Drosophila melanogaster: one gene and its partners. Changing the gene in region 4 together with the main gene of any one other region gives a genetic interaction. Each region holds a gene or a part of one and is shown on either strand. Other genes may lie near its edges. The genes, in order: bchs, velo, mei-218 and lwr.

The links.
Region 1: of lwr (region 4) and bchs, changing one enhances a phenotype caused by changing the other (phenotypic enhancement), as found in Drosophila melanogaster (one study listed by BioGRID).
Region 2: of lwr (region 4) and velo, changing one suppresses a phenotype caused by changing the other (phenotypic suppression), as found in Drosophila melanogaster (one study listed by BioGRID).
Region 3: of lwr (region 4) and mei-218, changing one suppresses a phenotype caused by changing the other (phenotypic suppression), as found in Drosophila melanogaster (one study listed by BioGRID).

The regions. Positions count from the first base shown.
Region 1 is NT_033779.5:5,905,273-5,910,174, reverse strand, and holds the start of bchs (blue cheese), read right to left. Parts: upstream 3,007-4,902; 5' UTR 2,888-3,006; intron 1,863-2,887; 5' UTR 1,831-1,862; coding exon 1,540-1,830; intron 1,486-1,539; coding exon 1,240-1,485; exon of another isoform or gene 1,128-1,239; coding exon of another isoform or gene 1-1,127. Other genes in the region: CG14000 (uncharacterized protein), read left to right, coding at 1-1,127.
Region 2 is NT_037436.4:6,749,706-6,754,474, reverse strand, and holds the start of velo (veloren), read left to right. Parts: upstream 1-1,722; 5' UTR 1,723-2,330; intron 2,331-3,031; 5' UTR 3,032-3,041; coding exon 3,042-3,122; intron 3,123-3,178; coding exon 3,179-3,916; intron 3,917-3,990; coding exon 3,991-4,769. Other genes in the region: Ist1, read left to right, coding at 1-200; SBDS ribosome maturation factor, read right to left, coding at 530-1,157, 1,238-1,368.
Region 3 is NC_004354.4:17,136,967-17,144,677, forward strand, and holds the start of mei-218 (meiotic 218), read right to left. Parts: upstream 6,025-7,711; 5' UTR 5,898-6,024; coding exon of another isoform or gene 5,836-5,897; 5' UTR 5,742-5,835; coding exon of another isoform or gene 5,301-5,741; 5' UTR 4,796-5,300; coding exon of another isoform or gene 4,728-4,795; intron 4,629-4,727; exon of another isoform or gene 4,516-4,628; coding exon of another isoform or gene 4,360-4,515; intron 4,238-4,359; coding exon of another isoform or gene 4,147-4,237; coding exon 4,013-4,146; intron 3,950-4,012; coding exon 2,410-3,949; intron 2,346-2,409; coding exon 1,012-2,345; intron 956-1,011; coding exon 723-955; intron 431-722; coding exon 111-430; 3' UTR 1-110. Other genes in the region: mei-217 (meiotic 217), read right to left, coding at 4,125-4,237, 4,360-4,515, 4,728-4,795, 5,301-5,741, 5,836-5,897; RpS5a (ribosomal protein S5a), read right to left, coding at 6,737-6,805, 7,652-7,711.
Region 4 is NT_033779.5:540,052-544,317, reverse strand, and holds lwr (lesswright), read left to right. Parts: upstream 1-1,737; 5' UTR 1,738-1,888; intron 1,889-1,938; exon of another isoform or gene 1,939-1,967; 5' UTR 1,968-2,070; coding exon 2,071-2,550; 3' UTR 2,551-2,609; exon of another isoform or gene 2,610-3,081; intron 3,082-3,149; 3' UTR 3,150-3,719; downstream 3,720-4,266. Other genes in the region: Spp (signal peptide peptidase), read left to right, coding at 52-902, 969-1,077.

The DNA of each region.
Region 1 (4,902 bases), 5.4 Mb from region 4:
TACGCGGCTCATCCTACTGGCCAGAGCGTACTCCTCATGTGATCCTATATTGTGCCACATTTTCGTCCTTTACGGCGCTCGCCGCTCTAGGCGCGTTCCGACTGCTATTGGCTAGGAGTACGGTGCTCTCCTCCCAGCTCCTGCTCACACTGAGTGCCGTGCTGTCGCACTATTTCTGCGGCGTGCTGATAATGCGCACCGCCATGCTGGACCCTCACCTGGCCTTCATCAATTCTACCATCGAGTATCTGGAACATCCGCACTTTGCGCACTGCAAGCAGCAGAGCATCGCTGCGCTGGTTACTGGCACCATGTACCTGATGCACATGTTCCACGTGTTCGACCTGCTGATGCGCATGGAACCCGGCGACTGGAAACGTCAGGCGACTGGCCGTAAGTACTTTGAGGGAACAGAGTCTGGTTCAACCGGGCTATTTGTGCTTTCCAAGCCAGTGGACGACTTTCTATGCAAATGCTGCAGGTGCTACTATAAGTTGGCCAATTCTCAGATCCTGTACTTCCGGCCGAACGCGGAGGTGGAGCAGCCGCACTTTATAGTCCGCATGTGGCAGTTCATTGGGGATGCGCGTAAAAAGTTCTTTTCGCTGCATCAGATCGAGAGTGACGAGAGTTTTCTATCAACGCCAACAATAACCACCAGTGAATCGGATATCACACCGGTGGACACGGAGTACAGTGTGTACATGGAAGAGCAGGCCAATAAGATGCGCAGGTCTGCTTCAGCCTGGCGCGGCTCCAGCGATTCCTCGAGCTTGTGGGCCAAAATCGAGGACAGGAGCACTGTTAGCCTTGTTTCAACTCGGTCAAGTGAGAACAGCGAGGCCACAATGAAACCCATTCAAATGGATCGGAAGCTAGCCCGGCGATCTTCCATGTGGGCGGACACTGAGAAAAGGGAGAAATCGGAGATTTTGCTGGTAGAACAGGGCTCTAGCTATTCTCGGCTCAGAACTTTAAGCAATGCTGAATTGGTCCATAAGCCAAGCGATGCGGGAGAAAAGGAACAACAAGTTCCAGATGCAGCCAACCCAAATATTACAAATGAAGAAGCTACGAACTCACACATCGAATTCTCTTTGAAGCCTGGAACTGAGAAAACTTCGTGAATTTGATGACGACTTTCCCTAACGAAAATTGTAGCTATTGAAATTTTTTGTTTTGATTACGTCGATGTATTTTTACCATAAGATACTATAGCAGTTTATAAATGAAACATACCTGTATGAGAGATACGTCTCCATTGGCCAACAAATTGAGGGTAGCCAAAAGCATCCATCCGCTGCTGGTTTCCTCGGTGGTTTCCACCTCGAGAAACTTGACTATGGCAATGGATGCCGCCTCTGTGCTCTGGTTGGAGGCGCGCTTGCGGATTTCGCTGACCATGAGACGGGACACTTGCTGGCAGAAGGCGACCACGTCCCAGAACTTTTCGCTCATGTCGTTTGACGGACAGCTGCTGAAGACCTGTAAGAATGGGGAGTTAGTGGCCTATTCCTCCATACCGACTGATTCACTCACTTTGCAGAAGAGGGGCAGCATCTCGTAGAGCTTGTCATCGCGCTCCTGTTCGCTCAGCGGCTCCCGCGGATGAGTGTATTCGTTGAATAGCTTCTTTAGCGTGGTGAGGCTCACTTGGACGCGGGCGTCCATCAGCGCCTCCTCCGCATTCCGTCCATTTGCAGCGGTCGGTGCACCAGCATCCGTTCTGCTGCTCCCTGGTGAACTGTTGTTCGCCGTCGAGGTTCCGCTACTGCTGCCGCTGACGCTGCCTGCGCTGGCCGCTCCGCGCAGCTTACGCATTACATTCATCTTTGTGTTTGTTGATTTGCGGTAAGATTAATCTAAAAGAGAGAAAATTAAGTTGACTTAATACAAAATATAAGACTAATCTAATGGCTGTACTATGAGGAATGTCATTGATTTTTTTGCAAGGGGGTGGCACTTTCTACATGTGTTTTAATAATGGTGATTCACTTGTTTACAATGTTATGCCGTTTAAAAAGATTATATATTATTCGATAAAGGTGTAAAAAGATATTTCATAGTATTTTGAAACTTTTTACTGCTGTAGTTTAATGAACTTTCCCACTTTCATGCAGGTTTCAGTTCAAAACGTGTCGCTTCGCATTTAAACATATGTTTCCATAGAACCTGTGCTTATTGTAGATATTGTATCTTTTGAACATTGGAGGTGAGATATTTTGGCGATTTATTTGCACAGCACTGACACTTTCAATTGAGTGGCTTCCAAATCACAACCGCGCACAGTGCAGTTGGCGTTATGGCTTGTTTTCGCAGCTATTCTATTTCTGCTGCCGCCGCCTTAATTAGCGGCCGCTGGAGGTGAATCACACGAAAAGTGCGATCATTGTATTCGGTGCGAGTATTAACTTTTCGCGAGTGAATGAACGTTGCCTCTGTCGCCGACTCGATTCGATTCGTACGCCTACATAGCGAGCAAGCGATTAACCGATAGTGGTTATTATTCCATATATTCGGGAAATATTTACATTTTGTGCGAGACAGCTGTTCTTGGTTTACTTATTGCGCACTTGTTTGTTTACTCCAACTCCCTTTGAAACTACCGACTATCTGACCTCTCTTTTCTGCCAACGCATTTGGTTCAGCTAACGGCCGCTCTGTTGTTGCTTTTTCGTAGTCCGCTTAGCGCTCTCTTTCGTGTCGCACTTTGTTTTGCTCCAGTCAATCGCGCCTCACGACAATTTTATTGATTTTTCTTCCTCTCTCGCGTACTCTCACTCGGCCTCTCTGCCCGCCACCCACCCTTGAACAAACCAGCAGATAGGTCGAATTTGAAAATTTTCACATGCACTTTTCCGGCTTATTTCGTGCAGCCGTCACTTACTTTTGCTATCCGTCGCTAGCATTGTGTTTCCCGTGTGAGTTTTCACTATTTTGGGCCCTAAATGCACTCGTTTTACATCTTGTTTCACGTATGAAAATATGAACCAAATTTTCTCCAGCTTTTCGTCTGTACTCTCTTTTCGTTATTCTGTCGAGTGTTGCGTAGCGCTGCCAGTGGTATCAGCTGTTCACATTTTCCACCACCGCAGCCAGTGCTCATTAAGACCAAACGCCAGTGCTGCATTTTGAATTATGATCGGCGGTCTAGCTTTGGCATTTCAAATTCAACTGTACTGATAAGCAAATAAACAAGACCGATTTGTATTAATCTACTTCATTTTATTATTTTTATTTAATACAAAATCTTTTGTATGTCGCCAACGATGTGCTTATCTTCAGATTGTATATATTAGATCGCTTACTAAACTAATGGCAACAGTTTAATAGAACTAAACTGATTTATCTCATAAACTTAGCATCTAAATTGATACTTAATTAGCACTTACTTAATGTTCATGTGTGCTCATAATTAAGTTCATTATTGTTAATAATATTATATGAGTGCTTTCGCATCTCGGCTAACAATTGGTATTCTTAGGCCATTGGCCATTAATTTCCAAATTTCTCTCTCGCCCAATATTCGCATGAGTGTGAGATTCTTTATTGATTCTGGCTAGGGGTTATTAATATTTGTGTTTGTACTTACAGTTGTTATAATTGTCAGCATCAACAGATAGCTGTCGGATATGACAACAAATTTATTTGCATATTGATTGAACGAACACCCGATGGCGAACTTCATGCGTTGATAATGATGCTATTTGCTGACTCATTTGTGGCAGAGAATGCTGTAAGTTTATTGGGATTGATTGATTGGTAAGGCCATTAAATGCCACGCACGTCCTTCTGATCTAATTTCCCTGTACCCGAAACCAATTCGCTGTGTCTCCCCATTTTAATGCGGATAAAATTTCGTTTTTGAATCAATTAGGGGTGCAAAAGAATAAAGGCGTGTCGTGCTAAATATTTAGTTAGTAGTTATCCCCATGACCAACTGCCTCGCTCCCCAAAAATAGTTTACCTTTGGGCGTTGGCCCCGCCACGCCCACTGACCCCTTGCGTGACTGCCCGTATCCACCCGCTCCCACAGTCCTCTTCAGTTTTCCAGCTAGCCAGCCAGCCACATAAGCTAAGCTCGGAGTTCCCTAATGCTTGTTTATGTGGGAAAGCGTTTGGGATTGGCACTTCTCCAGGTATTATATCTTCCCACCCAGACAGGTACTTTGCGCACTTTCCCGCCCGACAAACCCCCCACCGCGATTTGTGGGGCAGGGTTGTGGGGAAAGTCCTTTGTCTGCGGCAATATTCTAATGGATTTTTCCGTTTCAGTTATAAATAGAGGCCCCCTACAACTGACAAAAACGGGAACAATATCTCAGGTGCCAAGAAGGGGTAGACCAGTAAAATGATATTCGGTAGATTGATAGCGCACTAAAAAAAAAAACTCGTGAAGTTGGCGCGAACATTCTATTTACATACAAACTCTTATGAGTAAAGTGACATCAGCCTATTTCATCCGCTTAATCTTCCTTTAAAGGTGAAGTGCAATACCCAGCAAAATTTTAAGTGGATTTTTAAGTGAATTTTCCGAGGACCGCATATGCTGCTCGAGGCGTTTCCGGAAAATTTAAAAGTGTAACCCCAAAAATCATTTGCACAGCATTCATGGGGGACTCATTAGGCGGGGCTTCCCCCTTTCTGTCGGAACGAATAACTTTTATTTTTCGCCCCAGAGTCCTCCACTTCATCACGACGCTGTTGTTGACAATGAGCGAAACATTTGCGTATCGAAATTGGCAAGACCCCGGGCGGCGGCCAAGGATATTCCGGCCTCCACATTCCCGTAAGACATGAATATTCATCCTTTGGCGGAGCGAGTCCCAATCGAGCAAGAAGATGCTTCAGGTTGCCGGGGCTTTTGGGATTAACATAAAATTTCAGTTGATTGTGTTTTGG
Region 2 (4,769 bases), on a different chromosome or scaffold from region 4:
CACAACCCCGATCCAAGCTGCCACCGGGTAATCCCACGCTACCAAGTGCTCCTCCGGCATTGGACTTCCCCTCGCTGCCCAACGTTCCCAACGATCTGCCAGATATTCCGGGCGCAGGTGCCGAGAAGAAGAACGACGAGGATGAGATTGATTTCGATGACCTGTCACGTCGCTTCGAGAACCTTAAGAAGCGAAAGTAAAGCTGGCCAGCAGATCACCTTTTAAGTCTACAGTATATTTGTTATAATCTCTGTCCTGTTCTACATTAATAATCACGTATATGTGTAAGGAACTATTGATCATTTTGTTTTTTCGATTAAGTAGTTAATCAGACTTCAAAAATGTATAATCTGAATTGAAAGATGGTTGACCTATTGCTTTTCATATTCGCAATCTTGATTCATCTAAAAACAGCCTAAAGATTAAAATACTAACAGATTAAATTCTGTGTACTTATCAGCTTTATGTTTCACATAAATATCAACAAGATTACAAAGAAAAACAAAAAATTTTAAAGGGATTGTATTGCCTAGAAGAGTTCCTCGCTCTCCACCACTTCCTTCAGCTCGAGCAGCTCCAGCAGTCCCTTACCCTTCGTTTCGTTCCTTACCAGCTCATCAATGACACGATATTGGCCAGGATCTATGAGCAAGGTTAAGTGCAAGGTGGCCTCGTCCCATTCCTCGTGCTCCACTGCGTTGGCCAACTTGACCACCGATTCCTTGAGCTTGCCACCGCCCTCCTTTCCAGCAAAGCTAACGCGCAGCTTCATGCGCGACCTCTCGATGGGCATATGGTCCTTGAGAATCTTGATGGCCTCCAGTGTGTTCTGCTTGGTGTTCCTGTTCATCTTAACGGAGAAGTGGGCATCCTTCAGGGATTTCTCGATGATGGAGGCGGGATATGGACGACGCGTCTCTGGATTTACACACAACGCAGCCACGGAATTAACTATACTATTTAGTTGCGTGTCCAGACAACTTTGGCGCTCCTTTTCCGACACCTGCAGTTCTCCTTTGCTGAGGATCTCCTTGCAAATCTCAGTCTCGTCTGTTTTATTGAAGGCCTTTTGCAGCTCGTCCTTTTTGGCCGCCTGTCCTTTGGAGACATTGGTGAACACGGTATGGGTTTGCAGGACCTCATCGATGTCCTTTTCGCTAAGCATATACAATAAAGTAATTAGATTTAGGTAAAGCCTATTTCACAATCTGCACGTGTTGCATTTAGCGGCTGTTACCTGTTGCTCCTCCACGAAAGAACCTTATTTTTATAGCAGGCGATCTCAAATCGCTTGCCACCTTTTTTTAGCCTCACAATGGCGACATTTGTGAGGCGTATTTGATTTGTGGGCGTGAATATTTTGGACATTGTTGTTAAAATACAAGCTGCGGAATTAGCGATGTGCAAGTAAACCAAAACACTTTCGATCGAACCAAACGATGAATGGCAAAAAATCAAACATTTATATATCCCGTAGTTGTGAAATCATTGAAATTTCCTTTGATGTACAGTTTGATAAAAAATTTTGTTCACAATATACAAAACTGCATAACAGCTTTCTATTAAAAACATACTTATAATATATATATTTAGATGGATTTTATTTATGTATATTTTTTTTGTTGAAATTTTTTTCACCGCTACCCACAATTTTCCGAGCTATCGAGTTTTTCTACTTATCGACGTTTTACCATCACAACGACGTTGTTGTTGTTCCTTCGCCACTCTTCTTCTTCTTCTTCTTCCTCACCCAATTCGCCAGAGCGCGCAGCAAACAACAAAACACATAGTGCTCAAAACCGCGATATCAACGGTCGCTAAAAATCGTTATCAATCGCCTTTCGCTAAATAACAGCATAATGTGCAACAAAATCATGGAAATCACCGAAACAGCGCGTTCAGTGCGAAAAACTAAAGATTTTAAGACAACTCCAGTGGCTCGACCGTTTAGTGGTCCCTTTAAACTGGCTACATGCCAAACAGAGGGACCTCTAAACATTAGGCGAAGAGGACGGCACAAGGCAGACATCGATAAATCAGCGGCCCAAAGCAACGCTGCAAAATGTTTATGAACAGCTGATGGGCCCGCCAGGGGGCGCTCGCGTTTCGTCATTGCCAGATAAAATAAATATCAAATGCTGCCTTTAATGGTGAACGCCATTTTTATTGCAAGAAAGAAAGCCACGGGTTTCAAGCAAAAACGCGAATAATTAACGTGTGTTTATTGTAAAAAGACAGCGCGATTATGATCTAATCAAAGAACAACTGGATCGAGCCGAGGGCACAGCGATTGGCTCCAAAAAGTTCCCATTCTCGTAAGATTAACGGAGGTGTGTAGGTTGGGAATGCCAACAAAAAAAAAATTATGCTCAAAAAGTGACCTGTAATTGTATAATAAATGTGCCTTAAAAAAGTTAAATATATTGCAAAATTACATAGGAATTAATTTATACAATTGGTCAACCGCATATTGTACAAGTTTCTGCTCGGAAAATGGTAGAAATCACATTTTTCTACTGCGATTTTGTGTGTGTGTTGTTCTTGAGGGCTCTGTAAAAGTCTCAAAAATGCAACGCCTGCAAAAAAGAGCAAAAATTCTCACAAAAGTGACAAAACTTGTTTGCATTCTTATTTAATTTTATACTTTAACACTTATATTCCTTACCGAGGTTATATTAAAATAAATGTGAAGGAATTAACGATGTCCTCATACTGAGACGCAAAAATATAACCTTAAAGAGTACACAAAATGTTTAAGTATCTTAATTATGCTACATACAGTGCAAAGTTTAACCAGTTAACGTTTTCTTTATCTAGGTGCATTGTTGTTGTAATGTAATTTAATTAAAATATATAATACGACTTATAAGAAATTGCATATAATTAAAAAAATATTCCAAAAAGAAAACAAAAAAATGTAATTGAAGAAAAGATCATATTAATTAAAATTTAACAGTACTTTTTGGGCCTAGGGAATTAGTGAAAAAATAGTATATATCTAAAATTCTAACTGATTTTCTACCCCTTCCAGCTGCCTTGAAATGGAGCAGTATATTGTGCCCCTGGAGGAGCCAGTCTACTCTGATTTGCAAGTAGTGCAAGTGCCCCAAGATGAGGTTGGGGTGAGTAGTATCCGAAGCCCTCGGTGAATAGCAAGCTAATTTCTTGTTTCTTTCAGTCCCTGGTCCTACAGGATGACCAGCAGCTGGTGTTCAACGACCAGCAGCAAGTTGTCTACCAGACGACGGCCCCAGCGCAATATCAACAGCCCCAGCAGTCTGCGGCACCCACATACCACATAATCGGTGGCGATGATCTTGCACATCAGCAGCAACAGCACCAACAGCAGCAGCAGCAACAACAACAGCAGCAGCAGCAACAACAACAACCGCAGCAGCAGCACCAACAACAGCAACAACAAGTTGTAATGCATCATCAGCAGCATCAGGTGCAGCAAGTGCAGCAGGTTCACTATCAGCAGCAGCAACAGGAGCCCCAGCAGCAGCAGCAACAACTGCACATGGAGCAACAGCAGCAGCAGCAGCAGCAATATGTGCAGCATCAGCCGCAGCAACCCGCCATCCAGCATACACAGCAGATTTACTACACTTCAGAGCAAGTCCTGCAACCAAATGCCATTGTGCAGCATATGCAGCAGCAGAAGAAGCAGCAGCAAGTGCTGCAGCAACAGCAGCAGCAGCAGCAACAGTATCAACAACACGCACCCGCCTACCAAGTGCAATCGTCTCCCCAAGGGCAAGCCCAATTACTTCAGAGTTCCCAGCAGCAGCATCAGCAAGCGCAGCAGGCACAAACGTTGCAACTGCAGACGTCGCCACCCCAACAGCAACCGCAGCAGCACCAGCAGATCGTCTACCGCATGACCACCACACAGCAGCAACAAAGGCCCTTAGGGGTAAGTTAGGTTCCAAATAGCCCTGTATTTATCTTTCACTTGAAACATATTGATATCGATTTTCCAAATCCTAGATGCTCAACAATACGCACGTGATTGTCCAGCAGCAACCGGTATTGATCCAGGGCCCACAGCATCAGGAGCTGATTATGCGACAGGCCATACATCCGTACAACAATCGTGTAGTTTATGCCACTTCACCGCAACAGCAGCAGCAGCAACAACACGTCATCCAGCAGCACGTACAGCAGCAGCAAGTGCAGCAGCATCAGCAAGTCCAGCAACAACAGCAGATGCAACTGCAGCCCACGACTCAAACAGCCCATTTAGTTCAGGCTCGTGTGGTGCCACAGCAGACCCAAAATGTTGTCTACCAGCAGTTGCAGGTGCAAAAGGTGCAGCCGCAGCAACAGCAGCAGGCTCCACAGCAGCAGCAACCGCAATTGGTGGCTCAGCAGCAGCCGCAGCTAGTGGCCACCTCTGCTGCCGGTGGCACTCAACTAGTACGCGCCTCGTTTAGGAAATCGCCCCGAGGTGGAGCTGTGCTGGCCAGGCCGGGCACACTAATTACCACCAGGCCTACACTTACGCCCACAACAATTGTGCGGCAAGTTCGTCCGCGAGGAGGTGCAGTGCCCGGCGGACTGGTTAGGAATATGCGACCTGCGGGCGTACGACCCACTCGAGCGCAGTTGGTGGTGCAGACTAGCGCCAGCGGCGAGGGACAGACCATGCTAGTGACTCAGGGCCAAATGAAGCACATTACCATCAGCACGAATCTCGGCCAGCCGCAACAACAACAGCAGCAGCAGATGCAGCAACAGCCGCGCCACATCTACCGCACACACATGGT
Region 3 (7,711 bases), on a different chromosome or scaffold from region 4:
GTATAAAACTACAAAAGGTATTCAAAATTGGTCCAGTGTGCGATGGTTATAAATCTACGAGTAATGCCAAATCAATGCCAAGTTGGTCTATAGGGATCTATGCCAGGCGTTTAGGGCATGTCCCAGCTATCTGTGCGCCGCCTCTTATCCGCGTGCATCCCCAGCTCCTCGTCCTCGTAGCTATTCAGATACTGAAGTAACCAGCGTGTAAACTTGTTCATGTACGGATCGATGCAGGAGATCACATTGAAATTGAAGACCGCCGGCGGTGCCTGGTTTTCTTTGGCCCCGAAAATGCCCTGCACGAAATGCTCGCAGTGAAAGATGGCCACACAAACGTCCGATTCAAGGACCTCCAGCCGCAGCGCCAGCTTGGCAAAGCACTCAGCTAATTGCTTCAGCACTATATAGGTCTTGCTAGAGAAGACATCTGGAAATGAGCGGGATGGAAAACGTTAGTTGCCATCGATTAGAGGAGCACAAAATAGTAACAAAAGTTGTAAATAGTATTTCAAGTTTCGAAAATAATTAACAATTTGACTCTGTTAATTGTTCTCGAAACATGCTAAATGCGAAACATTACTAAAGTCAGTTTGGATGAGATCTGTTTGAATTGTGATTGTTGTTGTGTTTGTTGATCTGTGTTTCATAAAGCCGTACTGACACGACCCTTCGCTTTGAAGCTAGGAAGACGATTTGCTGCTTAATGGAATTAGACTTACTCGGTCGCTCTTTCCTGGAGATCACATAATACTTTTGCAGCATATGCTGAGCGCCATCGGTTAAGGTGGTCTTGCGCTGATGCAACAGATGTATAAGCATGCGCATATCGTCCTCGGGAATGCTCAAGCCATCGTTGACTACAATTTGACCCTCAGCGTTGTGCTTCTGAATTATAGAGTTCCAGAGACTATTGCTGGCCTGAGCACCCATATAAATTGGCAGCCCGAAGATTCTGCAAATTAGGTTAACTTAATATACAAGCGTAATTTCTAGTTTTGTCCACCTTACGGGCACAGTTTGGCGAGGGCCAGTGTTTGATTGGTGGAGTTGTTCGGCTGCCAGTAAGTCCAAACGGCTGCCTTTAAGGGCTGATCGATGTGCAACTGCGGAACTGGGACCGCTCCATTTTCGATGCACTTTTCCAGCTGGCATCCCTGATCCTTGGACAGACGATTCCAATCGCCGGCGTAGTAAACTCCCTGTTGTGCCAATAGTAAAGGACTGGCCACTATCCAATTAAAGCGCGTGGGCAGGGCATTGAAAGTGGGCTGCAGTCCGTATTCGTGGGGTCCCAGGAAACGTGGTGCCAGTTGGCCCACTTTGTTAAGTAGACGGTTGGCCATCAGGCTGTCGGTGGCGATTATGCATAGCGAAATTGGAGCCCGCACCTCATCAGATTCGATTGAAACGATACTGGCCAGCAGTATCATCTTCAGGTACACAAAGCAATCCATAGGCACACAGTCCTGACTGATCTGAGCACTTAGGGCGTAGACAAAGGAGTAGTCAGAATACTGCGATGAGATCAAGTGATGTAGTTTCTTGATGCTGGACGGCACGCAGTTTAGATCCGGCTTGGGATATTCTTGGCCGTGCTGTGATGGGGCTCGAAATATCATATGACGCTCGAGTGGTGGTCCTGCGTCCTTAGCGAGGTACGCGTTTTCCTCGCCGTGTTCGTCGGCGACGACCTGGTTCTCCGACTGGAAACTCGGGGGCTCTATCTCCGACTCCCACTGCCATTCCTGGTCCTGTTGCTCCGGCTGGGTTTCCTCCTGATCCATATCCAACAGAGGCCTGCTGTACATTAGGTCCTCGTCCTGGTGGATGCATGATTCCCACAAGTGTTGCTGGTGCTGGTTCTCCACCGGCGGCGAACTGAGAGTATGCGATAACTGGGTGGGCCCGGAAATGCTGGATGGGAGGCGGCTGGAGCTCATATGCTGGATGGGGGGTGGCGAACTGGTAAATATATCCATATTGGTGGTGCCAACCCCTGTACACGGGAGACTGGCTAGCCGAAAAACCGACTGGCTGACACTGTTGCTTTGGATTTCAACCGGAATTTGTGGTGACGAGTTGCTCCATATAATTCCCGACTGCTGATCAAAATAGAACACGGGCGGCAGATTGCCGGTGGCACTCACCTCGATCATTGCCGGTGGTACAATGGCTTCGATCGGTGTGTCGACTGTCTGTCGTGGTGGACATGGCTGATCATCTATCTCAGAGGTGTATTCGAGTATTGGTTCTGGGGCGCTGTCAGGATTTGGTAGTTGCTCGCGTGGGTTATTTTTTTTCGCGTGCAAAGAGCGCGTAAAACGCTGTCGACAGCGTCTTTGCTGTAATTGTCCAATATAGAAAGGGTTATCTAATGAGGATTAAACTTACGGTGCAGTAACTTACGCTCAATCTAGACACTTTGTGGGTTAGATGGGATTCTCCGGTAGGGTGGAACTCCTTAGCATTTGAGTTCAAAACGCTGCCCATAGCCAATTTTCGCATGTGGCTGCTCGCATGGATTTCTGGTGAGCTTTTCACCTGGCGCGGTTTCTCCTGTTGCTGGTACGGCACCACCTCTTTTTCCGGCGTTTTCCCTGAAGATCCCTCAAGCAAGGACTCTGTAAACTCTCGACTTACCGCCTGCAGACTGCGCACCATCCGGGGGTTGTGATTGCGACGTGGGAATCTCCTCTGCCTTCTCTCACTTTGATTAGGCGTCGGCGGCATAACATCCTCGTCCTCATTGTGGACAACACTGGGACCCGAAGATTGAGTGGTCTGCTGTCTGGGCGCAATGCGGATTGGTGCCGAAGAATTGTTTGTAACTGAAGCTCTCTTCGCAGGGCTCCTTGAGTGCAAGTAAATGAGCTCGGTAGGTCTCTCTGATTGCGACTGAGTATGATTAACAGGGTTCATCTGCTGCTGAACAGAAGTTTTCGGACAATTCTGAAGAATCTTTGGCTTCTGCTGCTGTTGTTGTTTCCAAGAGTGCTGAATGCCAGGAGACTTCTGATTGTTTTGGCTCCTTTCATTATTGGCAGGACTCTTCTGTTGCTGCTGTTGGAATTTGCTGGGAGAATTTTCAGAACTCTTCTGCTGTAAAGAACTGGCAGAACTCTTCTGATGATGCGAGGAATTGACCCAACTCCTTTGCTTCTGTATGAAATTGACCGAACTCCTCTGCTGCTGTGAAGAATTGACCCAACTCTTCCGCTTCTGTAAGGAATGGACCGAACTATTCTGCTGCTGTAAGGAACTGGCAGAACTGTTTTGCTGCTGTAAAGAATTGGCGGAAGCCATCTGCTGCATGTTAGTAAAACCGACAGAACTCTTCTGCTGCTCCTTTGGAGAGTTAGGTGTTTTCTGCTGATGCTCGACAGAATTAGCCGGACTTGTCTCCTCCTGTTGGGATTTAGCTGGAGTATTCTGCTCCTGTTGGATATTCTTCTCACCCGGAGAGGACTGGGCAGAACTTTTTGGCGTCAGCGGCTGTACTGAATCTTTACTCAGCAGTGTTATATTGGTCGAAGAAGAGCAACGTGCCTGGTCGCTTAAAGACTTTTGGCTGTCGCTAGGACGTACTGACGACAGCCAAGTGGTCACCGATTGATGATTGCTGTTGCTCGATTTCGGAAGCATGAAATCCGGCAAAAAGTTACCCAGCACAGGCGGATCTTTTACGCGACTAAAACGACTGGCAAGGCACGAAACAGTGCCGCCGTCATCTTGATTACGCACCCGCGGCGTTCGTTGTTTGAATCTCTTCGGGCGCTGGCCCAAATCAGGATACTCTTCGGCACTCACAACAAAGCTACGATCAGGCTTAGTGACTTCTTTAGATAAGCGCCAGACGTTAACATTTGGTTTGTAGACACCGGCCTTCGGTGTGGGAGTCATAATAGGCGTCACATCGCTTTCGACCAGGCCATTCGATGGTATGGTGCTGGGCATTGGGGGATACATTAATATATTTGCTTATTATAATGGTGTAAATAGAATATTCTACCCTATGGAGCTTGTGTTGGCATTTTGAGTAACTTCACGAACTTCACCATCGTCATCGTTGCGCAAGAAAACATTAAGCTGGAGGGGAATGTGCCTACGAGGGTCCTTTTTCTCTAGTTTATTCGTAGATGACATGCTTCCAGTTGATATGTGCTGGCTGAGCTCGCAAAGTATCCAGTGATTAGGTAGCTAGCACCCAACTTTAATTCGCAGTCGTGGGCGTGGGCTAAGAAATGTTGTTAATATTATGATTATTCATGATAGTGACATCCAAATGAGTATGTCCTAGTTTACCAGGCATATTTAATTTCACGTGTTTATGATGTCCTGAATACCAGATTCACTTACCTCTAAGGCGAACTAATTTTGGGCGATGAAGGCAATTGGTGACACGAGGTGTCTGAACTGCCGAAATAGGCAAGACAGCCAAGATACGATAGGTTTCCGTGACGCGCAGCTTTTGGTATTCACTCATGGGCCGCGAGCAGCTCGAACAAAAGGGTGCTGAAAGATATCAAGAAGATGGATTAGCAATGGAGCTGGCACAGGATCTCGTGAACAAGGAATGCTGGGTTAGATAACATTTTGTTAGACAGGGTTCCGAGGGTTGTGAGTATGGCTAGAGGTTAGAGGTTGTTAGTTAGAGGTTGTTGGCTGTGCCACAATTTGGATAAAGTGCACGTTGTTTCTTTATGTTCCTAGCCTATGGGACCTACCATCTGTTGAGCTGGTCTGTATGGCATTTCGCATACAGCCACTGCCGCAGTACCAGATCGATTGTAGGCTACAATGGAATATCAGGATATAAATTACACATATTATCAAAGATTGGTACACCCTAGCAGAGCAGCTGTGTGTTTTATAATTAATATGTTTAGAAACAGATATTGCCTAAAGCATAAGAAAATAATACATGCAATAGACAAATAATAAATACCATTAACCCACTTAAATAAAAAATAACGATAATACGATCCATGCTTTTTTAACTTTAACAACAATGAACATTCATAGAAAGTTAATGGGATATAGATATACTTCTTTTGTAGGTTGGTATTTACACTTAAGAGACTAAGCTTAAAACCCTCTTGAACTAAACCAAAAAGGGTAAACCAGCTTGGCTAGCTTGGTTAGTTAAGAACTATAACTATAATTAATCAGGCATGACAGGATACATAGTACCCAAACATAACCAAATCGAATAAGAAAAATGTGGAAAAAGCACACCAAAGCAAACTAGGGGAACATTGCAATTCTCTGCCAGGACATGTACAAACTGTAAAACTGACACCAGTGTTTCTTGCGGCGTGAAAGCGGCTAGGATGCCCCGGATCTGGGACAAGCCCAGCCGGGTCAACTGGTCCCGCGGCTCGAACTGCAGGCCCGGCGTAAAGGGCAGTCCCACCAGGCGCCAGTGGGCGTGCAGCTGGTTGATATCGATGGGCTTCAGGCCAGCGTCCTTGAGATGTGAGCGGATCAAGCCATAAACCGAGTAGCGGACCGCTTCTTGAAACTGCAGCGGTTCCTCGACGATGAGCTGCAGTAGTTGCGGTGAGATATCGAGTAGTTGCCGGTATTCGAAGTCCAGGCGCAGCTGGATGGGGGCCAGCAGGTCCTCTGGCCGCCGGGAGCTCATATAGTTCGCCACAAAGCGGCCAGAGGAGACCTGGACCAGCTTGAGCAGCTGCGTCTGCCGGCAAAAGTGCTCAACCAACTTCTGATCGTGGAATCTGTATTGTATATTAGCATTTCGTGTTTTATGTCTTTAGGAGCCTGCGAAAATAAATGCGCCCTGTTTTTTAACCAGGATTACCGTGCACTTACTGGCTTTTTAATGGAGTCTCGTTTACAACTGATGATCCTTCGCTTGCATCCACTGTGAACATTATACACTAATCCAGAAATGTGAACTTATTTCAATCCGACCTACTACCAAAGAATTTTAAAATGAAGTGTTTGACTAAGGAAAAATTGGAATTAAAACCGATTGCGATATGAAGTGTACCTATCGAGCCCTGATTTAAATCGATACTGAAGTTTTTCGATCGGGTAATGTGTGACTTAGATTTTAAATGTCGTTAAATGACTAATGACTAGCCTCCTACAATAAATGGATCTTTTGTTGCTTTGGCATAGAGTTCTTCAAAAGCGAAGAATAGAATATATAAATGTAGAATTTAAGGGCTTAAAACAATCGGAGTATTGTAAACTGTTGCCAGCTTTCCAATACATTTATTTTAGAAAAGTGATGCCAGATCGATGGAGTATCGCAACTATCTATAGATTTTATACACTAAAAAAACCGTATTTTAGTGATCTATCGTGAGTAGTTAGAGAAATATCTATGAAAGAAATTGTATCAATATCGATAAAAAAAACTTTTTAAAGTTTCAATTTGTTTAAACCATGTAATTTACTTTAATTTTTTAGCTAAATTTCATTTCAATATTTTTAGCTATTCCAAGCAAGACAATTTCACGTTTTACTCACGCTTAACCTCACATATTTCTGACACCAGCAGCCCGATAGAAAATAGCTAAAATATCCGTTCTTCTCTGACAACCAAGTTTATTATAAACTAAAAACTATAAAAAAAGAATGGTCTGAAGTGAATTTTTCATCTTGTTGTTTATTTTAGTTTTAGTGTATCATTTCTCAGTGTACACACGTTATTTGTATAAAAAAAAACAGACAGAAGTTTGTTTTTGCTGGTGATGATGTCTCCTTAACGGTTGGACTTGGCGACACGCTCCAACTCATCCTTCTTCTTGATGGCGTACGAGTTGGAAGATCCCTGGAAATACATTTAAACACAAGTTATTAGTATTGGCTATCAATGTTTTTCTAGATCTTTTATATGTTAATTGCGCTGTTATGTTACTGTTACTGCATTGTATGGATTCATCGCTTCTAAATAAATAAATATAAAAAAACAAGTCCCTAACTTATTTAAAGCTAGTGTTCCTTTACGTTTCTCATGTGCATTGAACTAAGCAATATTACAAGCACAAGGATAATAAAGGATGGAAATTAATCTGGTCCAAAAGCGAGACTACATAATTAAACCACCATGCAGAATTAGATTGGACCTATTATTAAGCTCTATATACCAACTCTTAAATAGTTTGCTAATGTTCTTTTACGTTTCTCGTGTGCATTAGACTGATATTGTCACAAGCACAAGGATAATAAAGGATGGTGATTGTTCTGGTCCAAAAGCGAGACTACATAATTAAACCACTATGCAGAATTAGATTGGACCCCCGCTATCCTAATCGAATCAGTTCCTAAATGCTAATTCATAAAAGTGTTCTTTTACGTTTCTCGTGTGCATAGGACAGTTAAGTGGTCACTAGCACAAGGATAATAAGAGATTTGGAGTTTGATCTGGTCCAAAAGCGAGACTACATAAATAAACCATGATGCAGAATTAGATTGGACTAGTTGAAATGACTAGCTGTGTCACTAGAAGGAAGAAAAGAGCTATTTCGAAGCTCAATTCTTGGGTTAATCCGAGTGCCGAACGTGGTTCTCGATCTGGTCTACAAGCGAGGCCAGGCATTTTGGTAGTACAATGCCAAGCATTAGAGTAGACCACCCCATTCCCACTTTGATCTCGCCACAAGCCCAATTTACCCACCTTAGCAGCGTTGATCAGCTCATCAGCCAGGCACTCGGCGATGGTCTTGATGTTCCTGAA
Region 4 (4,266 bases):
TCAGCCCGGAAGCTGCATTAACATGTTTCCCGTAATTCCCACTCCCTGCAGTCAACGGGCGAGAAGGCGGACACGATGACCAAGAAAGACGCCATGTACTTCCCGCTGATCGCGTCGGCAGCCCTCTTCGGGCTGTACCTGTTCTTCAAGATCTTCCAGAAGGTGCACATCAACTACCTGCTCACCGGCTACTTCTTCGTGCTGGGAGTTATTGCTCTGGCGCACCTGCTCAGTCCGGTGATCAACTCGCTGATGCCCGCCGCCGTGCCGAAGGTGCCCTTCCACATCCTGTTCACTAAGGGGGAGGGCAAGCACAAGGAAGACATCGTTAACTACAAGTTCTCCACGCACGACATTGTCTGCCTGGTGATCTCCTCGGCGATCGGAGTGTGGTACCTGCTCAAGAAGCACTGGATCGCCAACAATCTGTTCGGTCTGGCCTTCGCCATCAACGGCGTGGAGATGCTGCACCTGAACAACTTCGTCACGGGCGTCATCTTGCTGAGCGGCCTGTTCTTCTACGACATCTTCTGGGTATTCGGCACCAACGTGATGGTCACCGTGGCCAAGAGCTTCGAGGCGCCCATCAAGCTAGTGTTCCCCCAGGACCTGATCGAGAACGGCCTGAACGCCTCGAACTTCGCAATGCTGGGACTAGGCGACATCGTTATTCCGGGCATCTTCATCGCTCTGCTGCTGCGCTTCGACGACAGCAAGAAGCGCAAGACGCGCATCTACTTCTACTCCACGCTGATTGCCTACTTCCTTGGCCTGCTGGCCACCATCTTCGTGATGCATGTGTTCAAGCATGCGCAGCCGGCTCTGCTCTACCTGGTGCCAGCCTGCATGGGCACGCCCCTCCTGGTGGCCCTCATCCGCGGCGAGCTGAAGGTGCTCTTTGCGTAAGTGTGGACTGCGCTGGGCGCTCGACTTGAAACTAAACTAACTCATTCTCGCCCCCACTGCAGCTATGAAGATCATCCCGAGGAGAAGCCCGAAAAGAAGGAGAAGAAGGAGAAGGACGAGGGCGTCAGCTCGTCCGGCAGCAAAAAGAAGGAGTCGAAAAAGGGCAAGTAGAGCCGGGAGGACGCAACATCCGAACAACATCCCCACTCGTTCCATCGTAAATGTCTTCTGCAGCTAGCCAAGCTCCCTTTCGTTTCGATATGGCTTCTCCATCTACCGCAGTCCATAGCTCATATGGACTAACACCGCTACAAAAGACGATTCACTTACTGAGTTAGTTATGTACGTTCCTTGGCCAGGCACAACAATCTTATTTAGTTCGGTTAGGTTACAATTGTAGAAAATGTTCCCTCGACTTTTTTACCGCAATCAATTTAAATATGTATTTCAAATATTTCTGTGGCTCCGCACAGGAGGCTTATATGTTTAAGAACAGTTTAGATACAAATATATTCCAATTTTTGTAAACAGTGCAATTTTGACTACGAATTCTACATTGCATTTCTTAAAACTAATGCAGTAATTTGTGTAAACAGTAATGCGAATAAATTTTAATTCTAACGTTTAATTAAACTAGTTTTGTATTGAGTAGAGGGTTTTTAGGAATGTAACGGCTTAAGAGAAAAACCTAATACATTTTAAGTTGAGCTTACCAAAATCCAAAGAATTTTTAAATTTAAAACATAATACAAAAGTGCTTTGAAAAAGTCAGTATTTTAATACCACTGTTTATCCACGGCCACACTAAATATCGATAACCGCATAGTGAGACCCTTTGTGTAGAAAAACTTATACCTTTAGCGAGCACAAGCGTTCATTCCTGAAAAATTGCGGTAAAAATTGCGAAAAGCGCGAGTTCCCCCCGCGATTGCAAATAATTAATTTGCTTGGAACCACTGGAGACGCAAGGACGAACAGAGAGGTAGGTGCTCTTGCACTTAGCGCGCCAAAAGGCGACAAAGCCCCTCGTAGGCCACTTACCCACACACACACATTCGCAGACAGACGCGCGTGCAAAAAAGGCCAAGTGGGACTGCTAGCGGAAATCCAGGACTCGAGGACACGTTCGGGCGGCAGTAGAGAAGCGAGCAAGCAGCGACGACCATGTCCGGCATTGCTATTACACGATTGGGGGAGGAGCGCAAGGCCTGGCGCAAGGATCACCCATTCGGGTTCGTCGCACGACCCGCCAAGAACCCTGACGGCACCCTCAACCTGATGATCTGGGAGTGCGCCATTCCCGGCAAGAAGTCCACCCCCTGGGAGGGCGGGCTCTACAAGCTGCGCATGATCTTCAAGGACGACTACCCCACCTCGCCGCCCAAGTGCAAGTTCGAACCGCCGCTGTTCCACCCGAACGTCTATCCCTCGGGCACTGTTTGCCTGTCGCTGCTGGACGAGGAGAAGGACTGGCGCCCCGCCATCACCATCAAGCAAATCCTGCTGGGCATCCAGGACCTGCTCAACGAGCCGAACATCAAGGACCCAGCCCAGGCGGAGGCCTACACCATCTACTGCCAGAACCGACTGGAGTACGAGAAGCGCGTGCGTGCCCAGGCCCGCGCCATGGCGGCCACTGAGTAGTCGGGCTCCTGCCAACCACCTTTACCACATAGACATTAACAAATACACACATCTAGCCGGTAAGCGTTTGTTTGGAATGCTCTCCACGTCTACTTACTTTTAAAGAATCGACTAATTTTGGATAGCCCCCGCGGCCCGAAGCATCTAATTTTTTAATGTTCTGCACTTGCTTAATTACCAGCATGTACCATCTGAATAAATACAAATAAGTCCTGTAATTTTTCGATGAGGCCCAAAGTGGCCACGTGGCACCCAGAATTCGACGCTCTTTTCAGCTTCCATTCTGGGTGCAGGTGCCGATTATTCTACGGGCTATTTTGTATCGCGAGTACTACGTACAAACCTATGTAATTTCAATAAAAATTTATTAGTTGTAAAAGCTTATGCATTTTAAAGCGGAAAGGATTTCCCAGCAAATGTGCAGTCGAGCACTTGTTGGTCGTCAGTAGCCGTACAGCTGGATTTAGTGCTTGAATTATTCCATATAAAGTTCTTCCTTTTGCTTATTATTTAAGTAACATGACTATTTTTAAATTTAAGCATTTTATTTAAAAACTTGTTCAGTCCATTTTTACCTTTATATTTTATTTGATTTTTAGGCATTTGAAGCTGGTCACATTTCCCAACTATTTCAGCTGATCTGGCAAGTCCGCCAACATTACTATGCATAATTTTTGGCTGATCTGGTAGCATTCGCTGCTGATATAGCAATGCTTCCAGCTAACGGTTCATTTCCAACGAGGCCGCCATATTGAAAAATGCCCAGTTAAAACACCTACTGAGATTTGTGTTCGCCTGGTACTTCAGTCTGGGGAATCCGGCATACTGACAGCTGAATTTATTATTTTTCCCGAGGATGCTCATATATTTCGAACTGAATTACCAGGGAAGCATAAGCGTGGAAAGGTGTTTTTAAAACAACCGCCAGGATTCCCAAAGTCTTGGTTTTGGTGGGCATGCTCTATTCTGAGTACCAGGCGAACAGAACTTCTAGTAGGCTACCAACGATCAGCTGATCTATCTGATGCCTGGTCTAATCTAACGGTTCTTTTATTAGGGATGCCACAATATTTTTCTATTGATCCGGTAATATGTCCGATGTTTGACAATATTTTAATCAATCTGGCAACTATGTCGTCATAACATTTTTCGCTAATCTGGCAGCACTCAAATCGTTCGTTGAATTCAAAAATGTAAAATGTCGTTTAGTTACTAATTTCACTATATTTTATATTGAATAAATTAATTACTTTTATTGTCGCACACACTTAATAAATAATGTACTCATTTAAATTACACAGTTAGAATTGCTCGCTTTATGGGGAACAGCGAGTAATTTACATTATAGTATTGGATCTACATTGGAATACTTCGCCTCCTTCTACTCCGCAGACCATTGCAAACTTGTAGTTTCTCGCCCTCAATTTAATTTCTGTCTAAGTGGTAAGCTTTGGCATGCATTATATGTCATGGTTCCCACTTAATGGGTATGCGCCTAAATTAATGTACCTAAGTATCTATGTGTTATTCCTTTAGGTGTACTGTATATGTACGGGAGTACGATGTATATATCTACTTCTATCGATCGGTAAGTCGAAGGAGTCAGTCCCCAAATGGAGTTGGAAGTGGAGGGCAGCGACGGGAGATTTTCCGGGAATACTGTCGTCGATGGTTGGTTGCGGTTTGGATAGTGTACATTTTTAAAGGAGGCTAGGA